Linked DNA regions of Alligator mississippiensis. The protein of the gene in region 1 interacts with the protein of each later gene in a biochemical or structural test. Links are inferred from orthologs where the notes say so. Each region holds a gene or a part of one and is shown on either strand. Other genes may lie near its edges.

Region 1 (7,315 bases):
AAGTTTTCCACTTCTTACAGAGTGGAAGAAGAGGACTTCTTGCACAGTCCAACTTGTATTGGTGCCCACATTATTAATCTGAAAGGAGGAGACAAGGAGACTTCTACTTTGCACACTTGATGGACAACAACACAGCAAGTTATTTTGTGACCAGCTGAACCAGGAGGAAATATATTCATCACCTCAAATGCAGCCCTTACTCAAAGGTAAAAATGCAGGTCATTCATTTCAGTGCCACAAAACCAGAAGAGCTACTGATCCATTTACTTGTCCAGACAACTGGAAAGTAATGTAGGCAGACTGCTTCAAAATCCAGGACTACAGTGTACCACTGCAGCAGTAAACTCAGCCTCAAATGTCGCAGTTATTGGGCTTGACTCATATCAGACATAGCAAAGAGCACCGAATACATCAGTGCATTATACTTCTAAAATATTATGAAAATAGTAAGTGGGGAAAGTGAAATTACAGCATTTTAAAGATATGAGTTCCACACTGGCTGAGGATTCACCACTTAAAATAAAACTAAGGCACCCTAAGAGTGCATCCAGACGAGTGCACACGGGATTTGCAGCACCACAGACCCGTCAGTGGTGCCACAAACCAAATGCACTGCACGTGCAGATATTCGCTGCACTGCTAATTTAAAAACCCATGCCAAAAAAAAGAGTGGGGTGGCACACATGGTGGCAGCATGTGCCACCCAAAACCAGAGCCTAGCTTACCGGAGCCATTCTTCAGTTTCTAGTCAGGCTCCGTGTGCTCGGATCACCACTGCTGGAGCCCCGGGACCCCTGGACCTAGGTAAGGCTGCTGAGGACAGGGTAGGTGTGCTGATCCCAGCCTCCCCTTCCCGACATGGGGCAACTTGCCATGTGCCACAGCACGCATGCACAGGTGTTCCCCAGGGACACATACTAATAGCACTCCTATGCACCACTATTTGGCCCTGGCGAAACACATGTGAACACTTGTTTGGAGGCTCCCTAAAAATCTAATGTGGACTCATAAAAGCTAAGATACTCAAAACTGAAGTTGAAACTAAAGGTTACATTAAGTACGGAGATAAGAATAATGGATTTATTTACCTGGCCAAATTCTCAAGTAACTACTTTCTTCCCCATTTTGTTCTGAAAACTCCCTCTGTGGTTTCAGTAGGATGTGATATTTTTCCCTTCCTGTTCTAAATTTTCGTGCAACCTGGCTAAGTATTATTAAATCACTGTTCAACTCTTAACATGGATTGAAGATGAATCCCCATATCTTTCTTAATTACTTAATTTCTTAATTACTTAATTTCTTAAATGTTTCCTATTTGCAAAATGCTTAGAGGTTCTCAAACTAAAGCAGCAGTTGGAATTATTATTATTGTAATAACTACACGTCATAGAATGAAGCAAAGACACAAATTCATGCTTTAATCCAGTGGTTGGCAAAGGTTTTGGGCAGCAGGCTGGAGTGATCCATCTTGGGTCCAAGGCAAGCTGGAATTAATACCTGGCTACTGCCAGCACTTCTCCCTGCTGCCCATCGGTGGCTCAGGAGAAGCCCCTTGTTTCCAAAGCCCCATCCAGCTCCATGGGCTGGATCCAACGGCTCTGTGGGCTGGATCCAGCTCCCAGGGTATAGGTTCCCAACTGCTGCTTTAATCAAAATTTTTTAACATTGCAAATTCTCACTTGTTCTTTCCCCATTACTTAGATCAGCTATTTACAATTTAAGTCAACAACCTGACATTTTAAAAGACACCAAGAAGGTTCTAATGATGCCACTTCCTTTCTAAATGCAAAGCACCCGTCCAAACATTGTATCATCTGTAACCATCCGCTAAAGGTAAAGCATCAAATTATTTGACTGCTGAGAAGACTGACTGCTCCCACCAGCACTAGCCTATTCAGTTTGGAAAAACTGAAAGCTATTCAGGCCTATTCAATTTAGAAAAGAGAGGCGGGGGGGGGGGGGGGCGGACACGATAAGGGTTTACAAAATATTGAACAGCAAAAAGAAAGTAGACAGGGATTTATCATTCACTCTCACAATACAAGAACTAGGGGTCATAAAACAGAACTACCAAGTAGTCAGTTTAAAACTAAAAAAGGGAAGTTCTTTTTTCTGCAGCGAGTCATTGAAGTGTGGCGCTCACTGCCACCGACAGTTGCCCATTTACCTAGATGCAAAAAGGGCCGGGACAAACTTTTGGAGGAAGAGGGTGGGTAGCTATTGAAGGTGGGGATGTCCGAATCAGAACTGCCTACACCAGTGGTTCCCAATCTGCGGTACAGGTACTAGACCACCTGTCAGCAGTACATGTTAACAGACGTATTATAATGACTCGATAGGACAAAAAGTTGCTGGTGGTACTGGTAAAGGCCGTATCGTTTTAAACTAGTGGGGTGCCATCTGTCAGGCTTTGGGAGCCGCTGTCCTAGACCTTAAATGTGAAGGCTGCATATGAGAGGGGAACGGGAGCGGGGGACGGGACGGGATGGGACGCCCTGCTCAGACCCAGCTCGCTTTCCGAGTTACGCCGCAAAAGCCCATCGGCGTTTCCCCGCGGTCCCCCCCGCTCCCAGCCCGGGCCACGCAGCGCTGAGCTGCGCGCCAGGGGAAGCCGAGCCGCGCCCCCGCGGGCCGGGGTCACCTACCTGCTGCAGCTCGGCGGCGCTTACGTAGGAGTCCAGCACCACCAGCAGCGGCACGTGGGCGGCGCGGCCGCGGAAGAGCGCGGGGGCTGCGCGGGGAGAGGAGACGCGTTACAGCCGCGGCCCGGCTGGGGGGGACAGGGGACGGGAGGAGAGGGCGGGGGGGCGGTCTCACCGTCGGGCAGCGCCGCCAGCGCCAGCAGGTCGCGCAGCGTCTGCACGAGCGTGTCCAGGCGCTGCCCGTCCCGCACGTGCCGCAGCCTCACGAGCAGCTTGGCGAGGGCCGCCTCGTCCCGCGGCTCGGCCATGGCCCCGCGCCGCCCCGCATCTGTCCCGCCCGGGCGGGGCCGGCGCTGCCCCAGGACGCCTGTAGGCGGCGCTGCCGCGGCTCCTCCCCCGGAGGCGGTGCCACTGACAGCCGTGCTGTCCAATCGGGTGGCGGCGCTGGTACTGCGGGCCCACCCCCGTCCTTATAAGGGAGGGCGCCGCGGCGAGCGGCTGTTATTATGAGCTGGGCAGAGGGGGTCGGCGTCGTGGGGGTGGGGTCTCCTCACCCGCCCGTCTTCCCGTCCGCTTCTCAGAGCACTGAGCGAGGGGGAGCGTGCGGGGCGCTGTGTCGCCCTCCCAGCCCTGGCGTGAGGCGGTGCGGGGCCCCGCAGCCTGTCGAGTAGGGAGGGGGCCTGGGCCTTCGCCATGAGGAGGGGAGGAGCGAGTCGCAGCTGCGGCAGACCCAGGCAGAGGGTTCCAGAAAGAGTTACAAGCCCACGAAAGAGCAGATGAAACTGCGTTGAGCAACCCCACAGCCCCGGCTGCGCGCAGGGATGGGGCTGAATTGCGGGTTCCCGTCCCCAGAGGGGGATTGGGGGTCATCGGTGGGTCTCCAAGGTCAGGGCTGCTGCTGTGAGTGTCCAGCTGACCAGACGAACAGGATATGAAGTGCTGCTAGGAAAGGGAATGAAGCAGAGACACTGTTGTGTCCCTAGAAAGTCCGCACTGAACTTTCCTATGCTGGAAGTAGCGAAGGAAAAGTGCCGAAGGAAAAGAGCAGGGGCACGAAAGATCAGTCAGGCCTGCAGAATGGCCTCCAAATAAGGAGAAGCTGAAAAGGCTGAAAGGTTTCAGCTTGGGAAAACCGCCATCTAGAAAAATCCATGGAATGAAAAAAAGAATTGGTGGAACTAGGTCTTGAATCTAGCAAGCCTTGTGTACGTGTAACACCTTTTCATACAGTCTTAGGGTGGCTTATAACAGAAGGGGGAGAACTACAGGGACGGAATAAAATAATGAGAGTACAACCCCTTCCCTCTTCCCTAAAGTGGGGGGAAGAATTGAAAGTGATCCTCCCCAACCACTTCTGCTCTTTGTCCCTGACCAGTGAAAATATCCTTCTACACAGCTTTATTTCTTAACCCACATCCAATGCTAGGAGTCGCCTAAAACAAAAATACTTTTGTGAAATTCATTGTCCTGGGATGTTCAAGCCAGTAATATTGAGTGGGTTAGGTGGTACTTTATGGAGGACAGGTTTATAGGGGACTATTGTCTATAACATTCAAAGTCAAAACAGCATTAACCTGCTGCTCACCAAAATGGTATGATACTGGATAGAACTCTACAAATTTCCTGTTTCTTTTAGTTTCTCGAAAGCAACCATTATTTGCCACTGTCAAAGTATGGGATACCGAAGTTGATCCTTAGCCTAAGCTAGTACAGCAGTTCTTAAGTGGGGGCTGGGTAAGAAAGCAAACCTGAGATCTATGCAGCCAACCTGACAACCCCCTTTGAAGGTGGAGCAAGCTGGGCTGTGACCTGTTTACCTCCCAGTGTGGCTGTTGGGGACCACGTGGTGATATTCTCCAACTAACATGACTTGGAGGGCCTCATGGGGTTTATCACTGAGGTGGTAAAAAGGGTGAATAGAGCCAAGCTTACTAAGTAAGGGTGTTTGGAAGAGATGGAGAGTGATGTGCTCCTTCATCTTGCTGACATGTCTTTTGGAGAGCTAAGTCTGTGATCTGGTTTCCCAGACTGGGGTTGTAGAGCTTTTGCATAGAAGAAAAATCGCTTCCACTTGATTATATCTAGTTATAGAAACTCAATTTCACAAAACAAATGGTCAATTCAGTAAAGAAAATATTGATAACCTTTTATGGTAGGCCAACTCAAAAAGCAATCAAAGCAAATTTTCTAGCCTTAATGTAGGTATCTGGTTATAAATCAGTGCACTTTCTTTGTGCCTATGTAAACACCTTTAAGAAAATTAAAATTACAATATTTTAATCACATTGATTTAATAAATTTCAAACACACAACCTGACATGTTTTCATAGTAGTTATAACAGCTGCCAATAAACATCAAATCATTCCTAAAGCATGGCTTGCAAGAATAAGAAATGGGAATATTTTTGCCATGATTAGCAAACTATTTTAAGGAAACATGGAGCAAAACTAATAGTAGAAAAGCTAAACATTATATATACTGTCTAACTTTTTTTAACCTCTAACTGCCTTATTTTTGGCACTTTTCGCTGCTCTTGCAAGGTGAAAAGTTAAATTGCCGGCAGCTGTCACTAAATTGCTAGAAGTTAAATTCGTAAGTTGTCATCAAATGAACACTAGTTCCCACAGAACTGTGCTAAATAAAGAGGGAGGAAATGAATAACTTCACCAAGCTTATCTCTGGTTTTTAATGTTTTAGCCATTTTGAACAATAACAACAAAAGCTGGAAATATTTGGCTGTTTTGAAGCTAACTTGATTTTTTTCTTAATGCTTGGCTCTTGGGCAATCAGTTCAGGGAAGTCTCCTTTATTAAAAAGGTTGGTTATTTTGAGTGACAAGCATTCTGAACTGCATTTGGATCTCTGGTTATTGCAAATACTTAGTAGCTAGCCAATCTCAGGGCTGTCAGCTTTTGTTGTAGTGCTGGTACTGTCTCAACCTTAAGTCTCATTCAAAGAAACTTTTGTACTATTTCTTAATTATAGACCATAGACTATGACTACATTTGGCCATGATGAATGATCTTATCTCCCTTCAAAGTTCTAGAAGACAAAACATTGACCTGGGGTAATTTAAGCATGGAACAGCGATTCATTTTTAGAAACTAGTTGAGTGCCTTTTCATTTGGACTAGTGCAAGCACCTGTAATGACAAAGTCAGTTGAATAAAAATAGATCCACTTCAGTCAGAGGCTCCTGACTACCCTCAAGCAACAAACATAGATACCTCAACTTCACTGCTTCACTCTATCACGTAGTTGACCTTCAATTTATTGTCATGTGATGTTTTATGAGATTATGCTAATATTTATTATTTATTGTGTGATGCTCAGTGTCACAGTAATATACTTGTGGGGGGGAGCACCAACAGGATGCTCACCACTTAAGGGCTGTTGCAGGCTCTGAGTGAGCCTACTTTGTGAGCAGCAGGGAAAGCCCCCATCCCCGGAACCATTTTAAGGGGGAACATAGGTGGCAGAGCACCTTTGGTGTCTGAGGAGAGCAGGCAGCAGACAAGTGTAGGCCAGCCCTGGTGAGGCGGCCATTTTAAGATCCTGGCTCTCAGGGCTGAGAGCAGCAGTTTTCTGCCAGCAGCCAAGGGAGCAACAACACCCAGGTATGCTGCTGCTCATGGAGCATCTTGGAGTTAAGGTCAGGAGCTATTGGGGATGGCAGGAGGCTCCTGGTCCTGGGTATTGTCACAACCCAGTTAATCAGTGCCCATGCCACTAGCAAGAGATACCATTCAAGTAGCCAACTAAGGGTTAAAAAAGAAATCCTTGCTCCTGAAACAAAATCCTGGCAGAGAGCTGTATATAATTTATGCCCATGTCACAAACAAGAAACGAAACTGGTCATGGTGAAAGGGTATAGCCCTGCCATAAATCCCTGCAATTGGTCAAGAAACAAGCGTAAGTCCCTCATCATAACCTCATATGTAACAGGAAGAAAACCTAACCCACTACCTTGTAACCTGATAGCAACCTGAGAGCACAAAGAACTGCTGCTTGCCAGAAAATTAAAGATTTCACATAACGGTTCATCATTGGGTATCTCCGTCAGACACCTCTGTCTATAAATAGTTTAGCAACTTCCGCCCAGATGGAGAACCCCGGAGAAACCTCTGAGGAGAGACCTGAGTCCATCACCAGAGTAGATTGATGGTCTGATCAGCTGTCAATACTCCCCGTCATCGTAAATCTTGACGTATCAAAGCCCTGCAGGCACGATAGCACGTTTTCGGCGCCACGTCCATCATTGCTTGGCTGTAACCCGTACGTTTGACTGTAATCGATGCAACTGTAGCAGAACAAAGGCTAAGCCTGCATCGCACGTCACTATCTGGGCGACGTAAGTAAACAATCTCCTATAACCAACACGCATCTGTGCCTGGTTAATTTCACCCCATCCATCACTACCCGCCTGTCAGGTAAAAGTTTTACTGCTTCGGTGGGGGGGGTCAGAAGGCAGCTGCTGGCCGGCTGCTCTGATTCCCGACAGGTATGACTGAAAACTGCACTCCGCTGGGGAGTCCCCCAGGAATGCCAGTCCAGTTACCTTTCTGGTGAAAGGCGAGGAGGGGCGCCTTAAAACCCCAGCCCCCCCTATTTTAGTGGGTTATTAAGATCAGAGGGGAGCAGAGCCAGGCATACCGATGGGAGTGGCACCTGAG
Region 2 (7,058 bases), on another chromosome or scaffold:
CACAGGCAGAAAGGGCTACCCAGTGGAAAAAATAATTCATTACCATTAAGCTCCTGGTAATATCTTGTTAACTAAGTCACGCCTTGCTTTTATTTTGAGATTATCAAGAAATCTAAAGCTTTTTACAAAGATGGGTCCGTTTCATTACCCCTTTACCCTAGACAAACCCTGCTTGGAGAGTAATTTGGCAAAGACCACAGCCCAATTCAATGGCAGAGGTCACGAGTACAAGCCTTGGAGACTCCACTCCAGTGAAAAGCTTAAAACCACCAGCTTCTTCAGAATTAAACAGAGCACCCCCCCTCACTTTGCCAAGATTTCGGACATGGCTCTGACAAGTAGCATTACCAACTCATGTAAAATGGACATCAATTATATTCATATTCACATGGTTCTACTGCAATAGCAACAAGCTGCTGTAGCAGCAGGTAACAAAGAGACCACTTATAGTAGTATATCACAGAGGACAGTTTCAGTTGGTCAAAGCAACAAGTTAAAAATCAACCTTCACATGCAAGAATCTCTAATAAACTGCACTGTAGTAGAATGGAAACCCTTCATTTGGTCAGACTGCATTTGCTCTTGTATGTGCTCACAGGTACACTTGACTCTTTTCCAGACTAACTGCTCCTTTCAAACTGAACCTTCCAGGCAGGTCAAATGAAGGCACTGCTTTTGTCATAACAACCTGCTGGAAGGACTATTTTAGGAGAGGAGGCATTCAGCTCTATGGTGCCCACCACCCCTATTCCTGACATGCAGGGTGTGGCACAGTCATCATTTCCATAGATAGGCACCTAAATGAAGTAGTCTGTTTTGTACAACTGCTAGGCATCTACAAGACCCACTGGTGTCAATGAGCAATACTGAACACATACACCTGCCAAAGTCAACCTGCTTCTATGAGAGGAGCCAGCTATGGACTTTGAAATCCAACATTAACCAACATCAAAAATTTTAAATCAGAAAAGCCATCTCCCCAAGCTTGCATGAATCTGGATGGTCAGAGGTTGGCTGGAATTGGCCTGGCCTGGACCAGTTTTTTCTACCCTTACTCACATTCCCTCCATAGCTGTAGCTTTTTAGCACTACAGCCACAACCAGCAATCCACCAACAGGCCTCAGAATAAGTCAGTCTAAAGAAAGAATTATTTTTCCCCTCTCATTACTAGACAGAAGGGACAGAAATTCCACTTTCACATGGGGACCCCAAATAATCAAGAGAAACACACAACCCTTATTAAGCTATTAATACCTCGCCTGAGTAACTGAAATAAGAAAATGAAAATACACTGAAAAAAAAATCAAAGTACCCCATCTTCAGATGAAAGGAGATCATAACCAGATAACGTTTCCTGCCCAGCTGAGGCTGAAGTCTTCTCTCAAACATACCAGTAGCTTTAACTCCACTGTACCACTCAAAGCAGATTTTCTTCCACTGAGAGCACAGTGTGTGAACCCTGATTTAATAAGTGAATTTGAAAAAAATGACCCTGCCCGCCCCCCCCCCCCCCCAATGCCTTTGTTGGGATGGGTGCCATATAAATCTAAATAAATAAACAATAAATGTTATCTATCTCTTACAAAAGGCATGCAAGCCAGTGACACATGCATACTACAATCTGCATGAAAGGATTATCCAGCAGTTACAATAGCTGGAAATTGCTAGAGATATATACCAGGTAAATATAACAACTTTCCTCCCGCTAAGTCACTGATTTATGTTTCTCAGCAGACCTCAAACTACAACTAAACACACAAATACGTGTGAATACATAACCTAAAAGAATCTGTTTCTCTTCCTGTTATTATTTGGAGGGGAGAGAGGGTTGCAGAGGGGAAATAGGATTTTGCTCCTAATGCATCTGCCTGCTAATGCCTTTGCTGAATCCACTTAACTGTAGATTCAAGATTCCTGTAAATTCAAGAAATCCTTTGAAAAGAAAGGACAAATTATTATGCAGGGTCTCACATAACTGCCTAGCTGCACCTCCAACCTCGGCTCTGACTGCCTCACCCTTCTGCCACCACGCAGACGGCCAACTCAGGTGTTCAGGCAGCTCCTCCTTGCCAGCTGATACGGCACCAGGATCAGTTATTACAAGGGTCTATCCAGATCAGCACTAAGATTTATTCCTGCATGACAAAACATGAAGACCGTACATCTTCAAGGCCCCCTGGATGGCTAGCATACCCTTACAGTTACATCCGTTCAAGAGCCAACGTAAAGGCCTGTGAAAATAATGAGATATGACCAGCTCAAAGGGCTCAATCCAGTAAAGCATCAGAAGGGCAGCAGGGATATTGAGACCCCTCTTGCAGAGTGCATGTGCTGAACTAGGAGTCACAGCACGACTCAACCCTCCTTCCACCAGAGAAAACAGGTCACCAAAAGAGCCCCTTGAGTACAACCCTGGTATCATCGTTACCAGCCCACCGCCCAGGCCAAAAGCCACGTGCAGTGGAAAGCAGCCCACTACCAAGGCTCTGAGCAGTGCCCTGGGAAGGCTGGAGGGACTCCGAGTATTTCGGGAGAAAGCTGCCAGGAGGGAGGGAGGGGTCCCGGCGGTCCGCACTCCGGGAAAGGCAGGAGGGCGCTCAGGCTGCGTCCGGGGCCAGACCGAGAAGTCAGGGGCTGAACTGACAGCAGGGAAGACGTGCACAGCGCCGGACAGGCCACCCTGTCTGCGGGTAGGGGCGAGGCGAGGCGAGGCGGGGCTCCCCGAGCCCACTCCGGGAGGCGTTCCTGCGGGCGGCCCCGGCCTGCAGCCAGGCGCCCGCCCTCACGGCTCGGGCTCGAGCCAGGGCCAGGGCCAGGGCCCAGCCTCGGCCACAGGGCCCAGGGGCCCGAGCCTGCTGGGAGTGCCCCGCCCCGCTCACCGGCGGCGCAGTGCCGGGCCCCGGCGCTGGGGGGCGCTGGCGGCAGCAGGAAGCGCGCGGGGGCGCGGGCCCGGGCCGGGCGGAGCAGCGCACGGACGGCGGCGGCGGCCATGGCTGAGCGTGCTGGAGGCGGGGGCGGGACTGCAGGCACCCGGCGCCGCCCCGCCCCGCTCGTCCCCCCAGCGCCTGGAGCACGTGTTGAACGGGGCCAAGCGAGACCCCGGCGGCGCTGCGCGCCCTGCTGGCTCGTGGGCTGAGCTGCTCTGCTCGTGCGCTGGCTGAGAAGCTGCAGAGCTCCGCCTCCCCCCCACTGCTCGGGCCTGGCTGCCACAGCCGCGTCTGCGTGCGGGCCGGGCCGGGAGCTGGAGGGAGCCGTGTCCGCTTGCAGCGCAGGTTGCTTCAGTGCAAGGGAACATGGTTTCCTTTGCTTCTCCACCAAGCGATCCTGGCAGGGGAAATGCCATGTATCTGGGTTCATGCAGGCAGCTCGGAATAACTGCTTTTCTGGCTGGTTTAGTAGCCCGAGGTGTTGGGGCTTAAAGCCCACGGTATGGAAAGGGGAGGCTCCTCCCTTGCTTGCTCGTGTGGCTGAGCGCAGGTGAAACGCGGGGGCATCCGAACCCCGAGCCTCCGGGCTTGGGCCTGCAAGTAGGATGCCTGCCAAAAGACTTTGGAAATATCTGAAGCGCCTGGTGGGGATGGAGGATGTTTGCCAGGTCAGGGCCACTTATGGTTCTGGACTGGCTCCTGGATTTGGACTTGATTTGGCTTGGAATAACAGGGTGGAGTTTGACCCATAGCTGAGGGGGCAGAGGACATGGGAAACAAGGAGGCCAGGACCAGGCAGAGACAGGGGCTGGGGCAATCACACTGCCTGACCGGGGGGCACTGAAGACGGTGCTCCTGCTGCTGCTGATAGGCGCTGCTCTAGTCTTCCCCGCTCGGAACATGTGGTTGGCAGAGTCCAGAGCCACCCATGTTTTCTTTTGGCGCTCCACATGGGAGAAAGGTGGCAAGGGCCAAGCTGTTCAAAGCGAAACAGTCCTGAGGCAAAGGGATGCCAGATGTCCTGCTCTTCCTCTGGGCCAAGTACATGAGCCAGGTTTGCAAACGCAACGGGTGGGATCTAAAACAGCCAGCTTAAGTATTTTGTAGGGCAGCTGCTGTGACAGTGGCAAGCGCACACAACAGCTAGTGGGAGCCCATATTTTCCCCACGGTTTTACAAGCTTCTGAAGTGCTTTAGAGAGAAATGCAAACTGCAGGATGCTACCCTATGGGGACTAAGTGCAAGTTTTATTCTCCCAGCACAATCAAGGCATATATGCTCAAGAGGGCAGAGAAAGTACTTAAAGGTCATCCTCAAGGCTAGCTTGAAAAAAATGCAATATCGACATCAGCTCATGGGAGACTTACCCAGGACTGCCCCAAATGGAGGAAGACTCTGCTGCAAGGTTCTCAGTACTTTGAAACCTCACAATGACAACAGGAGATGGAAAAGTGGGAGCAGCAGAAACAGCATGTTTTGGACTGAATCAAGAACCCAGAGCCACCCATGGAAACATGTGCCTGAGCTGCAACATAGTCTGTTGATCTTGGATAGGCCTCATCAGTCATCTACAGACCCACAGATAAGATAATCATGAAAGACAATCATGTTTAGCTGCAAAGGATTTTGGATGATTAGTTCAGATGGCCTTTAGCTGGTGCCGGCTCACTTTTTCCTTGTAATAAGCCCTGTTTCATTTGCTTATTTGCTTACAAGCAGGGAAATTTGCACACACTAGAGCACCCAATCAGAATGTACTTCCCCAGCTTTCTGGTTGAGGCATGAACCAGGTTGAGGCTGGTAGGAGCTGTTAAGCTCCTAAATTTGAACCCAGCCCTTGTTACTCGCAGTAAGGTTACTCTTGCTTTGTATTTCCTCTTGGTTTCACATCTAGTGATCCTGCTTCACTTAAGGTCTTGGATGGTCTTGCCTTTGTTAAGTGCTGTTGCTCCAGGTAGCTGTAGCTTTATTCAGCTGCTACTGTGTGCCTACCAGAGGTTCATCTGTAAGTCTCTCGAAATAGGTGTCTTTTGTGAAGTATTCCTAATTGCCCTTCTTTCACAGCAAAGTACTGATAGTCTGCTGTAGTAAAGTTGTGCAGGTTCAACCATATGTTCACAACAATGAATTGTATGGTGACTCCATCCTATTTCTAACCAAGATGGAGAAAGAAAGTTGTAATATCTATTTCCATTGGAGTCTGCCAAAAAGTGGCTTGACAAACATCCCTCTCATGGTTTAGGAAGAGAAAATCTTGCCTTTTGTAGGAAGTTGGACTACAGGTTTCCCTCAATTTATGCAGGTTCTGTATATGAGAATTCGCTCGTATGCGATGACTCTTTTTATACCCCAAATTCGTTATATGCAAGGTAAATTCACTCTTATGCGATCAGCATAGGCACGCTCCCCCCTCCCCCAAGCAGATAAGTCTGTGAGGGGAGGGGAAAGGGCTGGGAGGGGAAGGGAGGGGAAAAGACCATGGGGCCAGGGCCCCACTCACCCCAGCCCCTACTGCAGCTGCTCTGGGAGCGGCCAATGCCAGCAGCTTGCAGCTGTGGACTGCACCACGCCCCAAACCCCCAAGGCTCTGCTTCCCCATTCACCCCTGCTGCAGGGGCCCCAGGAGTAGCAGATGCCAGCTGCCCACACCAAGGAGGGCTGTGGGGCTGTGCCAGGCTCTGCAGCCTCTGCATGCAGAGCAAGAGCAGGCTGCCATTGCAAGCTGGAGCCGGCAGCAGCACTGGGCCCTTCATGGTGTTCAGGGCTGGCGGCTGACTGCTTTTGTCCTGCTGCAGGCTGGGGCTGATGGCAACACTGGGCTCTTCCTGGTGTTTGGGGCAGGCCGCAGTGATGGGAGAGCGGCGCTGCCACCCCTAAATTTGCCGTAGCCCCACCTGCCCTCCAAGAGCTGCCGCCAAGCAGCAGGAAGAGCCCAGTGCTGCTGCCACCCCCAGCCTGCTCTTGTCCAGTTGCAGGCTGCCACCCACCCCGAGCACCAGGAGAAGCCCAGTGCCACCCCTGCTGCAGCACCCAGGGGTGGCTTACACTACCTGCTTGCAGCCACTGGGCTGCACCGCACCCTTCTCCCTGCCCCTTCCCTAGCCCCAGTCTCACTCCCTCCCTCACCACGGTAGGAATGTATCCCTATTTGTTACGTTATAAACTGGGTTCCCTTTATATGAATTCTGTTTATGCGCAGTTTTCCAGGAACGCATCTACTGCATAAATCGAGGGAAACCTGTATGTGACCATGATGGTCCTTCCAAACGTACAGGTAGGAAGGACTTGGGGCTATGTTGAAGTGCCAATATCACTTGAAGCTCTGGCTATCAGTGCAGTGGCCTGAATTGTATTTCTTTTCAAACCGTTTATGTTGTTCCCTGAAACTTGCAGTAACTGTTTTTTATAATATGCAATATAAAAACATTCCTCAATCTTTAAGTTGTTTCTTTTTTCTAGGATTCCTCTCTGATAATTTCCTTGTCCACAAGTGAATGAGCCTTAGCCTCTGTTGGGTTTGTCCTCAAATAATTTGGCTGCTTGATTCTATTTTCATTTACTAATTGTTTTGTGATCTCATGTTACAGTGCCAAGGATTAGGGCCGCTTTGTATTAGGCCCTATAGACACACTTGCAGTAGGAGCTAGTGTCTTAGCGAAGGAGTTTTTGTCCCTTTTGGTTTTTACGCTACTGTTTGTATAAGCTTATATTCAACCTGTATGAGTACAAGTGCTGACCTGTGGGGACCTAATGTTTGAAGAAGTCTGCTTCCCTGCTTGCCCTTCCATTCCTGAAAAACTAAAACACAAAGGCATTTTTCATTATCATTGGGTATAGGGAAGACTGGAAAATGAAATTGTGGGGCATTGGCATGTGATTTTTTTTTTCTTTTCTTTTCTTTTCTTTTTGCCCAAAGGTAGTCAGCCTTTCCCAGAGTCAGGTTACTGGAGCCTGGACTTAGTAGTTTGTCTGAAGTTTTTTTGTATATGAGCCTTAAAAGGTAACCTTTGGCCACATGGGCTGCTTGTACATGTAATGGGGTTTAATCCTCATTAAATTAAATAGGTTTATTACATTTAAAATTGTTTATTTTAAAATGTCGCATCAGTGTGTGCACGTGGTAGTCTTTA
Region 3 (7,738 bases), about 130 Mb from region 1:
AAGTCAAGTTGCCCAAGCCTCTCATTTCAAGACATATCTGTACAATACTCAAAAATAGGACTCGTCAGAATTGGGACCCCATACTACAGATAGGTAACAACTTACAGAGACAGAAACTTAGTCAACCAAGCCCATGGCATATCTGGATATAATAGCATGCTGTCCATTAGCATGAGTGCTGAGACTACAAATGTCATGATTCATCAGCATTTAAACTGTGAAGGCTAAAATACATGCATGCTTTCAATCCTTATTTTACACTGAAGACAGTTCAAAAAGGGTGAAAACAGCTAGGCTTGCAACTAAAGAACAAGAAAATGGATGGGAAGGGATTCAAGTAAAGCATCTTTGCACATATTCTTCCATCCAAATCCCAGCCTTCAACTTGCCCATGAAAACCACGTGCAAGAAAATCCAGCACTTCTAGCTAAAAATCAGCATGGACCATCTTCTGGTCAGTCCAAACAGCTCACCTGGAAAAACTGCACATAGCACAGACAATGACTGAGAATTTGCCCCTCCACATAGATTTTGTCGAGTCAAGCACTGTAGATACATTATAAAAAAAGCAACAAAATGTGTCCATAGTTTATTTTTAAATTCCAATGACAATGGTTTTTAAATATTCTCCCCACCCTTATTACAAGAGCCTGTAATGAAGTTGGCCATAAACAGGGAAATTAACAAGCCTTTTTTCATTGTCCACTGTGCAAAAAGCTGCAGAGAGCCTGACTGCAGCATGAAAAATTTAGATTATTAAAGCTAAGCATCTTAAATCTGATTTATGAGGAACAGAGGTTAAATAAAATCTGTACCTGATGTCTGCATTTCAGGCATGCCAATGAGCTTCTTTTCATCTCCTTTGCAGAGCTGTTAAAAAGTCAGCCAGTGTACTGCACAGGTAGATGAATTGGATCAGTCAGGCAATATGCTCTGAACAGACCACTGAAGTAACAGAAACCTTAACCCGTTTCTGCAACACGTTCTAGGCAGTTCATAATGACAGGCTAAGTCTTGGTTGCCACCGGAGTTCTACCCCACACAGAGGTTCGGTAAGCCAAAGGAAGGAGAAACGACATGTAGGATGATGGCAGCTGCCTCCCAGAGAGGCAAGGTGGGGATCGTTCTATTTTTTGATGTGATTAACAGTACCTCAAAAAACCCCACATCTCTTTCCTACCCGAACCCTCCCAGACACTCACATTCTTTGGAAAAGAAGAAAACAATTAGCATTCCACCTCCTTGGTCTCAAATAAGCCGTCTCCGCTTCCGATGAGTTTAACAGTTCAAATCTAGGTGACCAGGTGCAACATGCTTTGTGCTTACTACAATGAAGTGGCTGCCAGTATCTGCCAAGGGCTTTCCCTTTCCATTTACAAACAGAAAAAGCAAAAAAAAAAAAAAAGAGAGAGAAGACTGTCTCATAAGAGATGGAAAATGACCTTGGGTGGCACAATGTTTAGAAATGGGGTTGGACCCACATTCCTGTGTCCAGGGTAATTCCACAGTTAGAAGTAATTAACAGTATATGGGGGAAAAAAAAGAGGTAACAGAAACAGATCAATTTTAGCATAATAGAGAAAACCACTCTGTGAAGAATGAGGATACACATACTGGCAGACAAAGGGGTTTCTCCTCTCCTTAAACTACAGGAATATACCACAATCTTTACCCATTCAATGAGAATCACACTAGGCATCCATTTATGCTGCCATACCAGGGGCGTGACCAGCTGCTATACAGTATACTCAGGGATTTTACAAGACCATTTCAGACAGTGATTTAGAAAAAGCATGCAAGAGAGAAAATCACATACGTAATCCTAGTGAACCTTGCATTTCTGTAACCCCCCCCCCAAAAAAAAAAAAAAAAAGCAGAAAGGAGCAAAATACCTATCAGGGATTTGCCTGCCTATTGTAACCCTACTCATGGCTATTACTATCATTATCAATTGCATCAAATAAGGTGATTCAGACACTGTGCATTCAAAGGGGTGCTCCCCCAAGGCTATAGGAAACCTAAGGCTCAAGAATTATAAACATAAATCACACAATGCTGACCAGCGCTGGGCAACAAAGCAACCTAACTCCTAGACACGATGACCTAAATCTCTCTCCTTCCCTCCCCCCTCGATTTCTACGATTAAAAAGAGACAGCGGCATGCAGGGAGTACCTTTTTTATTTCTTCACCTGACAACCCGAAGGCAAGCGTCCCCCCACGTTAAAAGCAGGATTCTCCCTGCAATACCGAGGATGTGACAGACTGCAAAATATGGCACCTCGGATGTAAAAAGGAAAAAAAAAGCCCATCCTTTCTCTCTCTCTCTCCAGATCCACACCTACTGCAGTACCCACAGCCAACCTCTCATTCGCCATCACCACCACCACCGCGGCCGTCCCCCCGCCAGGAAACCCACCCTGCCGCCGGGAACGACTCCCCAAAATACTGGGAGACAGGAGGGGGAACGAGAGGAGGGGGGCACCTCCGCCCTGAAATGCACGGCTGCCTGGGCGCAAGGTGCAGCAGGGCGGGCAGGCGGCGCCCACCGCTGCCGGGGGCAACAGAAGCCTTCTGCCACCGAGACCCCGGCGAGGGGGGGCCCCGCCGGCGGGCTGGGGCTCACGCACCCCGCCCCGTTTTGGAGGGGGAAAGTCTCGCAGCGAGCGGGGCTGAGGCGCACCCCCCCAACCACTATCGGCTTCTCTTCCCCTTGCAAAGACGCTGGGCTGGGGCTGGGGCCGGGCAGAGGCTGCAGTCCCAAGCCTCCGCGGTGGGGGTGGGTGTGGGTGCCCGTGCCCGTGCCCGTGCCCGTGCCCCCGCCCCGGGCGCTCACCTGCCCGCGGCCGCTGCAGGAGCTGGTGGAGTGGCGCGCGCAGCCGGCAGCAGGGGAGTGACAGCCGCGCGCTCCGGAACCTTCGCCGAGCCCGCGCCGGCCCGGGCCGCCGCCAGGGGGAGCAGCCGCGCGCACGAGCACCACAGCCAAGCCGCGTACGCATACGCAGAAGCGCCGCCAAAGAGCGCTCCAGTGCGCGTGCGTACAAGCGCTGCACCCCACCCCGCCGCCGCTGGACGCGGGCGCATGTGCAGAAAGCGCGGCTCTCCGCCCTGCTCCTTTGTCTGAGAGAAGCGGCTTCTCCCCGCCCGAGGATGGGGCACAAACGCAGGTGCGCAAGGCGTGCCCGAAACCGAGCCTCGCTCTAGGCGGCTGGAAGCCCCAAGACAGGGTCACTGGCGGCCTCCAAAAGGCCCCACAGCCCGGGGTGGTCTCGTCACAGACGGGCGCAGCCCCGGTTGGGGGGCCGTGCAGCTCTTTCTCGAAGTTAGGCAAGGGCGCGTTTCATCAGAGCCACTGGTGATACGTAGGGGGTGCATGCAGGTGTACGTGCACCCCCTGAGATTGGCAGTGCACCCCTGCGAAGAGCACCACTGATGCTGCCAGTGGCACTTGCAAGCAGTCGCTGCTCACCGTCCCCCTTCCCCACCGCCAACACGGTCTGCTGGTGGTCCCTGATCGCCACTGGTGGCATCTCTGGGTGGTTGCCAATTGCTGGTCAGGGCTTGCCAGCCACCCATGCCGCCAACACCACTGTGGCAGGCTGCGGGAGCTCCCTGCTTGCCGCCACAACACCCCCGCTGCTGCTACTGCTGCCACCTGCCCCCCCCCAGCCTCCGGGGGGCACGCCGTGTTTATGATGGGAGCACAATTCATTTGCAGACACCTCACCCGCTTTCTACCTGCCTCAGGTGAGGCAAACGTATTGCGGGCTCCAATCTCACTGACTTTTTATTAAGCACGTCTCTCCCTGAGAACTGTTGTTTCACATAAGGAGCTTGAACACTGACCTTTGCTAGGTGATGATGATGATAGAAAATCAGGGCTGGAAGGGACCTCAGGAGGTCATTTAGTCCAGTCTCCCACTGGAAGCAGCATCATCCCTCTCTAGACCTGCTGGTGTTTGGTTCACCTGGCTCTTTAAAAAATTCCAGTGTTGGAGATTTCTCAACCCCCCCCAGCAGTCAGTTCAGTCCTTACCTACCCTTACGCTAGAGACGTTCTTCCTACCATCCAACCTAAATTCTTTTGTTGCAATTTAAGATGTTTATTTCTTAAGACTGTCCCACAGGGGACAAGAGATTGCCATCCTCTTTATAACAATACTTCATGTATTTGAAGCCAGATCAAATCACTCCTCAATTTTCTCTTCTCCATATGAAATAATCCCAGTTCTTGCAAGCTTTCTTTGTATGCCAGGTTTTTCAGACTTCTAATAATTTTTGTGGCTCTCACTAAACTCTTTCCAACTTGTCTATGTCTTACTTGAAGATATGCAAGGACATATTTAATCAGGGCATGCAACAGCAGTCAAGGTAGATGGGACAAAGATCTGGACAACTGTAATAAGGGCTACACCAGATCAAAAGTATGAATGTAGTATCTGGACCTGCTGAAGGTAATTCGGGTCACTTCAGGATACTCCTCTCCCCTGGCAAAACAGGAACAGTGATCATGTCAACATTATGGATCCGTAAGATAAAAAGAGACCTACCTACCTGGCTGAAAATGCATTCATTATAAGATGCTTCTCCCCTGTTAGCAAACATTATCTGTCTCATTCCATTTGCCTTAAAAACAGTTTATTTTCATCCAAGACCTTTTTTTGATCAGGCACTGGAAGAGGAAGAAAACCGCAGAACTCAGGTGTAAGGTAAGGAAGACAAGCATACCAACTATACAGCTCAACATACTTAACAATTTCTAGATCACTCAGATATTAAGAGAAGTTGCAACAAGCAGAATACTGAAGGGCCTAATTAACAAAAAACTGTTAGGAGGATGGGCAATATCCCATAGTCCTTTTGCAACTCACCAAAAAAAAAAAAAAAAAGAGTTGGTATGGTTGTGTCTATACATCTCAAGGCAGTGCCCTGCAGATATATAACTAGCTCTAAACTAGTATGGAAGAAAGTCTGTGCACTCCTCCTGGTGGTGACAGGTTTCAGAACCCTAACCAAAGAAGTGGTCCTCTACAAACACTTGACCAAACAACAAGGGGCCCCATCAGTTTATCTCTTGCTTTAGGTATGCCTTGTGGAAAAGCCAGGAACCTGCTCATCAAGAGACACTTGGACCCCACAGACAAGGACTGTATTAAAATGGGGCTGAGTGAAATGTACTGGTACTACACAAAAACAGAAGAGGACAACGGAAAAGAAATGACAGACCTCATCTGGTGGAGAGGAGACTGCCATTAACTTTTTCAGAGGCAAACCCTCTGAAAGGACAGTGGGTGAAACTACTGGAATGGTGATGGGCATTGGCGATGTGTAGGGGGTGCATGTGCACCCCCTGAGCATGGCATTGCACCCCTATGAAAAGGTGCTGCCGACACTGTCACCGGCACCTGCGGGCAGTTGCTGCCCCCACCCCCAACCACTGACACTGATGCAAAAAAAACTGAGTTAGCTTTATGACTGTCTTATGCCATTCAGACATACCCTATAAAAGCAATCCATTTTCCTGTCAGGACTCACACATACATACATACCTTGATCAAGTATGACCATGATCTGCTGAAAGACAAAACTGTTATGAAGATTATGGTCAACTATCCTCTTATTCATCAAAGAAAAAACAAATCTTCAGACAAAGGATATCAGTGAAGGTCTCTATGGTACACCTAGATCTGAAGCCAGAATGATAAAGCTCCACAGACATATAGTCAATTCTCCACTTGAAGTCTTTAAACCATGATCAAATGACTTTTAAAAATATTCTCTAGTTTAACCACAACACATTTGCCTGAGGCAGGAATTCTTGTTGAATTCTACACCTATGTTATGCAAGAGGTTCTAGTAGATCAGAATGGTTTCTTCTAGCCATAATATGCACAAATACCAAAGAATCTAGATGATGCTGAAGATGGATCACTACTACATTCTTTAAAAAATCACCAAACTATTTTTTCAGTATGAAGAGTATGGTTTCTTGAGCAAGATCCAAACTCACATTTGATTTAAATTGGCAGGTGTCTTCCCTTTACAGGAAGGTATGGACTTTTCTCCACAAGGAGGAAGCAAGGTTTTGCTAAGCTAATGTCACCAAGCACTTTCAAAACCAGCGAGACTAGAATGTAAACCAATCTCCAGAACTGATATGATGTGAAGGTACCAGACAATCTGTCATGAATTACTCTTGTCTTCTCTGAAGTTAATGGGAAAATTCTTCAGAGAGAAATATTTGACCCTGCTTCCATTAGAAGGCAATCAAAACTAAAGAGGTTGCCTATCACATAGCACATTTCAATTAGTCTAGACTTCATAACACAAAGAAATCTCCTTAGTCTTGCTAGCCCACGGACATTATAGAAACATCTGCCATTATCAGTTGAATTCGGTATGCATTTTCTTTCAGTGGGCATTGCAGTTTTCTTCTTGTTCCTTTACCTGTTGAAGACCAGCTCTAAAGTACAATGCCTTGTAAGGATATTGGAGGAGAAAGGTGCCTGGGAGTATATCAGCAACCATAAGAAAAAACATTGATATTCAGCCAATAGGTCTTAGTCTCAGCCAACAGATCATCTAAATAGCCAGAATATTGAAAAAAGGGGATGGGTCTAGACCTCTTTGGCTTGGAGAAAGTGAAGCACTCGTCAACTTATGACAATGGTGAGATCAACATATCTTTTATATCAATTAACAGATACAGCACATGTCCACCCAAGAAGTCCATGCAATTGAAGACAGCCCTTGGACCAGATTATTTAACAGAGACAAATTAAATTTTGATACCAGAGAATAACTGCTTTTGGAAGACAGATTCTATTTTGCTTTGGACACCTTCAAATATATAATTAATGGTTACATTAATAGGAATTTTTATGTTATGCCTCCAAAGCACTGCCAGTTGCTTCACGGTAGGCATGCATGTGCTAGAAAACTTTTCCATACAGTTTTAAAATCAGTGGAACTAAGCACATTTTATCAACAGTTATAGCCAAGTGTAGATTCAGTTTTAGGCAATTTGACCTGTTTTACTAACCCAAGTAAAATCAATCCCAGAGTTGCACGCTACTACAAGGGCAACCTGGAGAACAGAAAACCCAGGCGATCTTGTCTCCAATCCTTCATTAACAACTAGACTATACTTCCCTAATTAAAAATATATATAAAAAGGGAGTTCTGTATCTGATTAACCCTCATGTCTCCTTCTGGCTTTTCACTTCTATTTTTCATCATAAATTCTTTTCCCCTGCATGACCTCTGTCAGAAATCTGTTCTGAGACCATAAGCTTTCTTTTGATTTTCTCTTTAAAGATTCCCAGGGAAAAAAAAAAGAAACCTTAAACCAGTCTAACAAAGGATCCCTCCTGCAGTTTCTCCACAAAATCCAATTACAGGGAATAAGTAACCATGAAATACCAGACAATAATTCCATTGAGGGATCTCTGTTAAGTTCATAAACCTAAAAAGCATAGCCTGAGAAGTTTGTCCCTAGAGCCCAAGTGGAATTTCCCTGTCATTCACTTATAATTTTTTAATAATATCCATCACAAAGACCCATGTACATTAACCATGTACCTGCAAGAACATAATATTAACAAATATATAGACAAGCATTTTGCATTTCACTGATTAAATTCTCACCTCCCACATGGAAGATCTGGGTTCAGTTCCCAGTGTGTAGAGAAGGAAGGGTGGTCTAGAGTTTACAGGACTAGCCTAGGACCTGGGAGACCC
Region 4 (6,922 bases), on another chromosome or scaffold:
TGCCCTCACTGCCCCTAAAAGATTGGGTACCAATATCCCAATCATTTTTCCCCGGGCTGCTCATATGTTTAAGAGGATTAAAGTTTCTACAATAGCAAAAAATGCCCTCTGATTAGCTGAATATTTTCAGAGGAGTTAGGTATGATCATGTATGATGTGTGTTTAAGTGGGAGTAAAGATCAGCTTACAGACAATTTGAAACAAAAGAGGGCCAAAAACCACATACAGATCAATCAACAAATATATTTATCAGCTTTAACAGTGAAGTAGATTTGTTTCCAATTAAAAGGGGTGAAGGCTAAGAATAATGTTTATGATTTATCATTTGGGTTATGGTAGCACTTAAACCAGAGATTGTAATTCTCAACCAGCGCTGGGGTGCTTTGAGATTCTTTCAGGGGTGCTGCAGTGCCACGCAATGTTAGAACCATTAGGTGTGCAAATATGATTCATGAGATAAACCGGGATATCAAATAGGAACCCATAGTGTTAAAAACATTCTGAATTTTTAAGTAACTATGGTGGGGCTTTTGTTTATTATTTGTGTTTAATACATTATAAGGCAAGGTTGACAGAATAGAAGAAAGGAAGTGATTAGTGAAAATGAACAACAGGCAGCAAAAGGAAGAGTGGAGGTAGGAATGGGAGGTGTCAGAGAACAGAAGAGAAGGGCATGAAGGGCAGCTAGAACCAGGCTGAGGAGACTGTGCGGGAGGGGGAAGTTGAAGCCAGCAGCCAATCGGTAAAGGGCAGAAAACGTTCACTGCAGAAAACAGCTTGGTGGCATCAGTGTCTAAAGGCCCCTGGATCCCTGGGGAAGTTGCTTCTGCAGCTGTTCCTGCTGGCTTGTGTGTATGCTTGGTTACACACAAACCTGTCTTTCTTTTCTGAAGTCCACATGCAGAAGGTGAAAGTTAAAGGGATTTATGTACTTACATCTCTTAGGCCCTTTTGAAAGTTTCTCTCTGGAAATGGTTGAAAACTTTTTTACGGGTTCCTATGATGGAAGCAAGTTTGCTTAGAGGTTTTCCAGTGCGGTATTTTATACTGTTAGCCATGCTGAGTGGTCCTCTATTCATTCTGTACAGTGGTGTGCCTTATAGTAAAACTGAAGGAGAAAAGCAAAAGCTACAAAAGATAATGCTAACATAAAAAAGCGATATTCAACCTCATCCTCCAGTGTTTAAGAAAGTCTGTAACTAGTAGGGATTAGGAGACATAATGTCATGAGTCAAATTATCTCATGTCTGCCTATTGCAAGGGCACCTGCATCTTCCTCAGAAGCATCTGGTGTCAGCCATGCTCAGCGATAGGATACTGAATTAGATGCATCATTGGTCAGATCCTGAATAACAATTCCTATATACATATCCTGAATAACAGTTCCTATATACATAAGAAGCTGATTTGGCAGTAGCATACAGCAAAATTGGACAGGCTGTTAACAACGGGCTAAATCCTGGAATGCCAGAAGCCTTATGTAAATAAGAAAGGTAGATTTTGTTTGAAAATATATTAGTTAACACAGTTTTAACACAACTTTGCACCTTGCGGTGGATGCTTTAACACTGAAAAATATTAATCCTAGTTTACTCTCCTCACATCTAGTCTAGTCTAGGCAAGGCTTTCAACACAGGGATAATTTTCCTCATACAAGTAGATTAATTGGGGGAAAAAAGGCACACATAATTTTTGGCAGGTTAATGTTCAAAATATTTCTAAGTATTTATGTCAGGCTCTCAGCTGCTACCAGAAACCATCATTGTGGAAAGTCACAGAAAATAAACCAGTGAAACATATGGCAGACTGCAGACATGATGACTGGAAGTGAACACAGGAAGAAAAGCCAGCACTTTAGCCACCATACATAGTGTTAGTAATTGGCTTCATTGCTCATATAAATTGTAAGCAAATGAGAAAAATGTGCAAATGGGATCAGTTGGGCCAGGAATGTGCTGCCAATGTTCCTAGAAGGCGATCCCATAAAAATAATCCCTTTCAGCTTTCCATTGAGCTGTATTTTCTGTGATGAGCTTGCTTGCAGAAAGGACATAAAAAGGCTGATGAATCCATTCACGTTTTCTCCTTTTTAAAGAAAAACACTCTAACTATAACCAAAAAAATGATGAATTAAAATGAATCTAATATAATATGGTCATTCAGTGCCCCCTGTTCAGCTTGTGTAATTTGAAATAGATGTGTAGCTTTGTAGGGGAATTCAGGAGGTATCTTCACCCTGGGATTTTTAAAATCAACTGCAGTTTAGTATGTTCCTAAGAGGGAAAACATTTTTTCTTCAGGAATATTTTCATGTAACCCAGGGATGTCATCACTGTCAGGGATGACTTGGTAGTATGTGGAGTGTGTCAAGTTTATCAAAGTGGAGAAGCCATCACAAGTCTCTTTTGGTTTGACGAGAGCATTTTAATATGAAGCTCCCAAAGGCTTCCAGCAGCCCTATACAGCACATCTTTACTTGCTGTGGCCAAATTTTGCTTTTTCAGGCTACTGCAGTTTTCTGGGGGATGTCCTTCATTTCTGCTATTTCTTTTCCTTCTAGGGTCTGTCTGGCTTTATGGACAATGCTAGTGGCTCTCAAACGCAGCCGTCCTAAAGCACTCGCGCTAGACCAGTGGTTCTCAACCTTCTTAGGCGCATGGCACCCATAGATGGACTCAAGGAAACTCCTTAGAAAATGCAGACTATTAGCTTTTGCTCCTGGTTTGAATACAGAAAAATAATGAAGCGATTTTTTGTTTTGTTTTGTTAATTTTTTTAGTTTGTTTTGTTGCATAGAACTCAGCCCATAACAGGGCAGAATGGCTTCAGCACTATTTGAAATCTCTGGGTTTATCTTAGAGTCTTTGCACACCTAACTGTGCTAACATAGCCTGTCAGACCAGGGCACCCTTGAAAGACTCTCGAGGCCTTCCTGGGGTTGAGAATCGCTGTCCCAGACATGCCAAACACATGACGCTGCCCCAGACATACATGACATGCCTCTGCATTGGTTTGTCGAGCGAGCTCGCAGACTGCTACCAAGTGGCACTAACCAACCCTCCACCAGAGGGCACATAGCGCAAATCTGTCTGTTCTTTTAGATCTGCGCTACAGGTTTCTCTTACTTTATGTGGGTTCTGTATGGGTGAATTCGCTCTTATGCAATTACCCTTTTTATACCAAAAAGTCATTATATACGACATAAATTCACTCTTATGCGATTGGTGTGGTGGAAACCCGCAGTCAGCTACTTTGTGCGGTGCATTGTGGGAGTGATGCGCACCAAAATATAGTCTCCTGTGTGGATCTGTGCTCCTTGCGGGTTGTCTGCGACATGTGTTTCTGTAGTTGCCATCCCCATTATGATAGTGCCCTGTGCTGGTGTGTACTGTCTGCTGTTGGAGAGTAGACATTGTCCTGTAGAAATGGGTCTGGGGGTCAGTACAATCAAGGTCTTGGAAGTATCCCTATTTGTTACATTGTAAAGTGGGTTCCCTTTATGCGACTCAGAGTTATGCGCAGTTTTTCCAGGAACGCACGTACAGCATAAAGCGAGGGAAACCCGTACTCGACACAGGGCAAACTCAAGGCGGAGCAAATCTAGTCCAGAAAGACTGCCGCGGAATTTACCTGGCTGCATATTGAATTCAAGGGACTCCTGGGTTGCTGAGGGGTGAGGAGAGGGTTTGGCTGACACAAGGCAGGGGAGATGGACGCCTTCATAGACTAACTTGAGTAAAGGTATCCCTCGAGGAAGAGGGAGCACAACTCCAAGTCACCTGAGCAGACGCTGACCCCGCCCTTCGGGGGACAAGAGGCCGTGTAGGCCTCAGCGGAGACTTCATCTGGGCCCCCAGCGGGGCTGCAGGGGGAGGGGATTTAAATGCTCTGCCAGATGGTGCCTGCCCGAGACTCCCGTGTGCGTGTGTGAGAGAGAGATCCTGCCCGCTCTTTGTTCGCGTGCCGCCCAGAGACGTGCGAAGGTCACGCGTGTGACACGCGCGGCGCGGCCCTACCCGGCCCGCAGGCTCCCCACGCCCGGGCCGCGGACGCTAGGGGGCCGCAGCCGCCAGCGGCGTCACGTGGGGGCCGGGCCGAGCACAGCGGGAGCTCCCGGCGCTGCCGCGCGGGGCGTCGCCCGCTACATCGGCGCGGGGAAGGGCAGGGACAGGGACGGGGGACGGCGAAGGCGGCTCCTGCAGCCCGCGTCGCTCCTATGTGAAGGGCGCGGGGCGGCCGCAGCCATGAGCTCGGCCGAGCAGACCGTAACGTGGCTCATCACCCTGGGCGTGCTGGAGTCGCCCAAGAAGAGCATCGCGGACCCCGAGGGCTTTCTGCAGGCGTCGCTCAAGGACGGCGTGGTGCTGTGCCGCCTGCTCGACCGCCTGCTGCCCGGCACCATCGACCGGGTGAGTCCCTGCGCGGCACCGCTCCCCTTTGTGCCGCGGCGCCATTGGCGGCCCGGACCCGGGCCCGGGCGGGAGGGAGCCGGCGGCCCCGCCTGGCTGCGGGGGCTTCCCGGGCGCGGGAAGGGGCTTTCCCCGCGGGCCGCGGCCCAGCCCCTCCTTGCAAGGTGGCTTGTGTTGTGGGGGGAAGGGCAGCTGCGGGGCCCGGGCATCCCTCACCTGGCCCCGGGGCCACATGATGCTGCCCCTGTAAGCATTGGCTTGTGTGGGGAGCGTGTTTTGTTTTATTTAGGCCTCCTATTTTGTACCTTTTCCTCCCCCCTGTAAGCATTAGAGGCATGTTTTAAAATGCTACCCAGAGCTCCTGCACTGGGCGGTTGTCAGCCTCCTCATAGAAGACGAGGGCTGCAAGGGACCTCAGGAGGGCATCTATGGCAGCCTCCTGCTCAAAGCAGAGCCATCCCCGACTAGATCATCCCAGCCAAGGTTTTGTTTAGCCAGGGGCTTAATATTGTTGTTTCCGCCTTTTTATATTTTTCTCTATTCCTCAAAAAAAAACTCTGCCCCCCCCCCATGGCAAACATAGGTTACAATTTGGAGTTTGTGTGAAAGGCATGAAATAAACTCACTTATGATACAGTCATGCCTCTTGCCATACAGCAATTCCTCTTGTGTTCCCAATTCAGGGGGTTTTGAAACCTTATACCACACCCCAACATACAATATAGTCTTTCGTATGATCGGACAGGTAGCCCAAGTATTCCAGTTCTGGCTTTTCTCCTGAATAGTAGAGGGATTGGTATTTGTCTGAAGGTGAAATTAGAGGCAGGTGATTTTTTTTTTTTTTTTTCCCCGTACAGAGCAGAAATAGAACCTTTGACCTACCTATTGGCACCTGCGCCAGCTCTTTGCTATTGAACTTTACCAGATAATGAGCAAAAGAATGAAGGAGATCAATTGTTGGTATTTTAAAAACCTATGTTTGCAAAATACATTCACATAATTGAGGAAGAATTGCCTTGTAATTGAGGTATTGGACTGCGGTTAAGGGAATGCTGTTCTTGGCACTACTGTGCAACACTAGTTTGTATGTAGAGACCCTTGTGGTACTAGGTTCCTGACAAACAGGTAACCAAAAAGGTCACCCCAGCACCAAAGAATTTACAATGTAATGATAAGACAAAAGGCAACATACACTTAAGTGGAGAAAAAGGAGTTTATGGGCAGTGCGATAAGCAACAACGGTTGTGACCTGTTACCTGCCTTTGTGAACATAAACAAGTCAGTCTCTCTGTGCCTCAGTCTCCCCCTCTGTGAAACACAAGTGATAATTTTTCTTCTTCTCTTGCCTGTGTAGGATTCAGTCTTGCAAAGATTCAAACATATTCTTAATTTACACAGTGCAAAAAATCCAAAATTGAGGGTCAGTCTACATTACAGAGCTACTGCCACTGCTGGTGCATCTTTGTTGTCAGAGGCTGGAGATGCAGTGTATGCAGACAGAGGCTCATGTAGTTATACCGTCTCCAACAACAGAAACTTAATTGTGGCAAATACCTTCTTTTTGTCAGTGAAGTTGCATGTAGACTGGGGGCTTTGCCACCATATTTAACTTCTCAAGGGTATTTGCTATCTTTTCATACCCCTAGTTATCGTATCTATGTCAGCAAAACTTTGTAGTGCAGACCAGACCTCAGTCCTAGCTGCATCAGAGCCAGAGAGTCTAGCTCTTTGGAACAGGGACTGTGCCTTACTGTGCACATAGATAGAAGCGTAGAATGAAGCCCTGCACATAATTGGGGATGTTAGGTGCTACTCTAATGCAAATAATAATAATAATAATAAAGAAAGCTTAATGGAAAAGATGATAGGAACAGTATCTCATTATTTTATTTTATAAATATAGTATGACAAGATAATAGTTTTATAAATAAATATATAGACCAGCTACTAGAGTAACTGGTACCACCAAAAATATAGCCCACTTTAGTTAAGGTGAAATTTATGACGGTTTGGCCCTGTGTTAGGTTTGTGCAGTGGGACACTATTGGAGCAGCCACAAAGGCGGCCCTCCATGTTCCCTACGTATTGTTCAGGCAGCTCTGAATAGGTCTTTATTGAGGTCATTGGATCCACGTTTTGATAGATGCAGTGGCTGGGAACCAACGGACTTCTCAGCAATTTGCAAACCGTTATTATGGTTCTTTGGCTAGAATAGTGGCTGTAGAGAGTCTGCGGCTTGCTCAAGTTGGGGTTGTGTCAGTTCTAGCTGCCTAACTTGGTTTGCCTGAGTCATCCCTCTACCACAGAGTGAGTTAATAGTCTTTGTGGTAAAAAGGCTGCTTTGCCTTCTCGCCCCCCATATAGCACTTGTCGACTTGCCAATCTACAGACATAGCTGACAGACTTGTAAAACTACTTCCTATCAAACTTTGGAAAGATTCTGTTTAGAAACATTCTGCATGTATATTACTACTTGGCAACAATAGTAGTTTGGGGTGAGCAAGAAAAATGGA

What was found.
Region 2: the proteins of LRRK2 (region 1) and ECHS1 interact on a protein array, tested with the Homo sapiens proteins (2 studies listed by BioGRID and IntAct, with this or other methods). The link is inferred for Alligator mississippiensis from reciprocal best matches to the Homo sapiens genes LRRK2 and ECHS1.
Region 3: of the proteins of LRRK2 (region 1) and MAPT, one has a biochemical effect on the other in vitro, tested with the Homo sapiens proteins (3 studies listed by BioGRID and IntAct). The link is inferred for Alligator mississippiensis from reciprocal best matches to the Homo sapiens genes LRRK2 and MAPT.
Region 4: of the proteins of LRRK2 (region 1) and ARHGEF7, one has a biochemical effect on the other in vitro, tested with the Homo sapiens proteins (2 studies listed by BioGRID and IntAct). The link is inferred for Alligator mississippiensis from reciprocal best matches to the Homo sapiens genes LRRK2 and ARHGEF7.

The regions. Positions count from the first base shown.
Region 1 is NC_081827.1:28,643,999-28,651,313, forward strand, and holds the start of LRRK2 (leucine-rich repeat serine/threonine-protein kinase 2), read right to left. Parts: upstream 3,002-7,315; 5' UTR 2,951-3,001; coding exon 2,818-2,950; intron 2,732-2,817; coding exon 2,646-2,731; intron 1-2,645. UniProt on the Homo sapiens protein: Serine/threonine-protein kinase which phosphorylates a broad range of proteins involved in multiple processes such as neuronal plasticity, innate immunity, autophagy, and vesicle trafficking.
Region 2 is NC_081829.1:24,317,724-24,324,781, forward strand, and holds the start of ECHS1 (enoyl-CoA hydratase, mitochondrial), read right to left. Parts: upstream 3,008-7,058; 5' UTR 2,993-3,007; coding exon 2,881-2,992; intron 1-2,880. UniProt on the Homo sapiens protein: Converts unsaturated trans-2-enoyl-CoA species ((2E)-enoyl-CoA) to the corresponding (3S)-3hydroxyacyl-CoA species through addition of a water molecule to the double bond.
Region 3 is NC_081827.1:159,259,809-159,267,546, forward strand, and holds the start of MAPT (microtubule-associated protein tau), read right to left. Parts: upstream 3,013-7,738; 5' UTR 2,998-3,012; coding exon 2,835-2,997; intron 2,282-2,834; exon of another isoform or gene 2,174-2,281; intron 1-2,173. UniProt on the Homo sapiens protein: Promotes microtubule assembly and stability, and might be involved in the establishment and maintenance of neuronal polarity.
Region 4 is NC_081824.1:353,744,531-353,751,452, reverse strand, and holds the start of ARHGEF7 (rho guanine nucleotide exchange factor 7), read left to right. Parts: upstream 1-3,921; 5' UTR 3,922-4,244; coding exon 4,245-4,409; intron 4,410-6,922. UniProt on the Homo sapiens protein: Acts as a RAC1 guanine nucleotide exchange factor (GEF) and can induce membrane ruffling. Functions in cell migration, attachment and cell spreading. Promotes targeting of RAC1 to focal adhesions. May function as a positive regulator of apoptosis.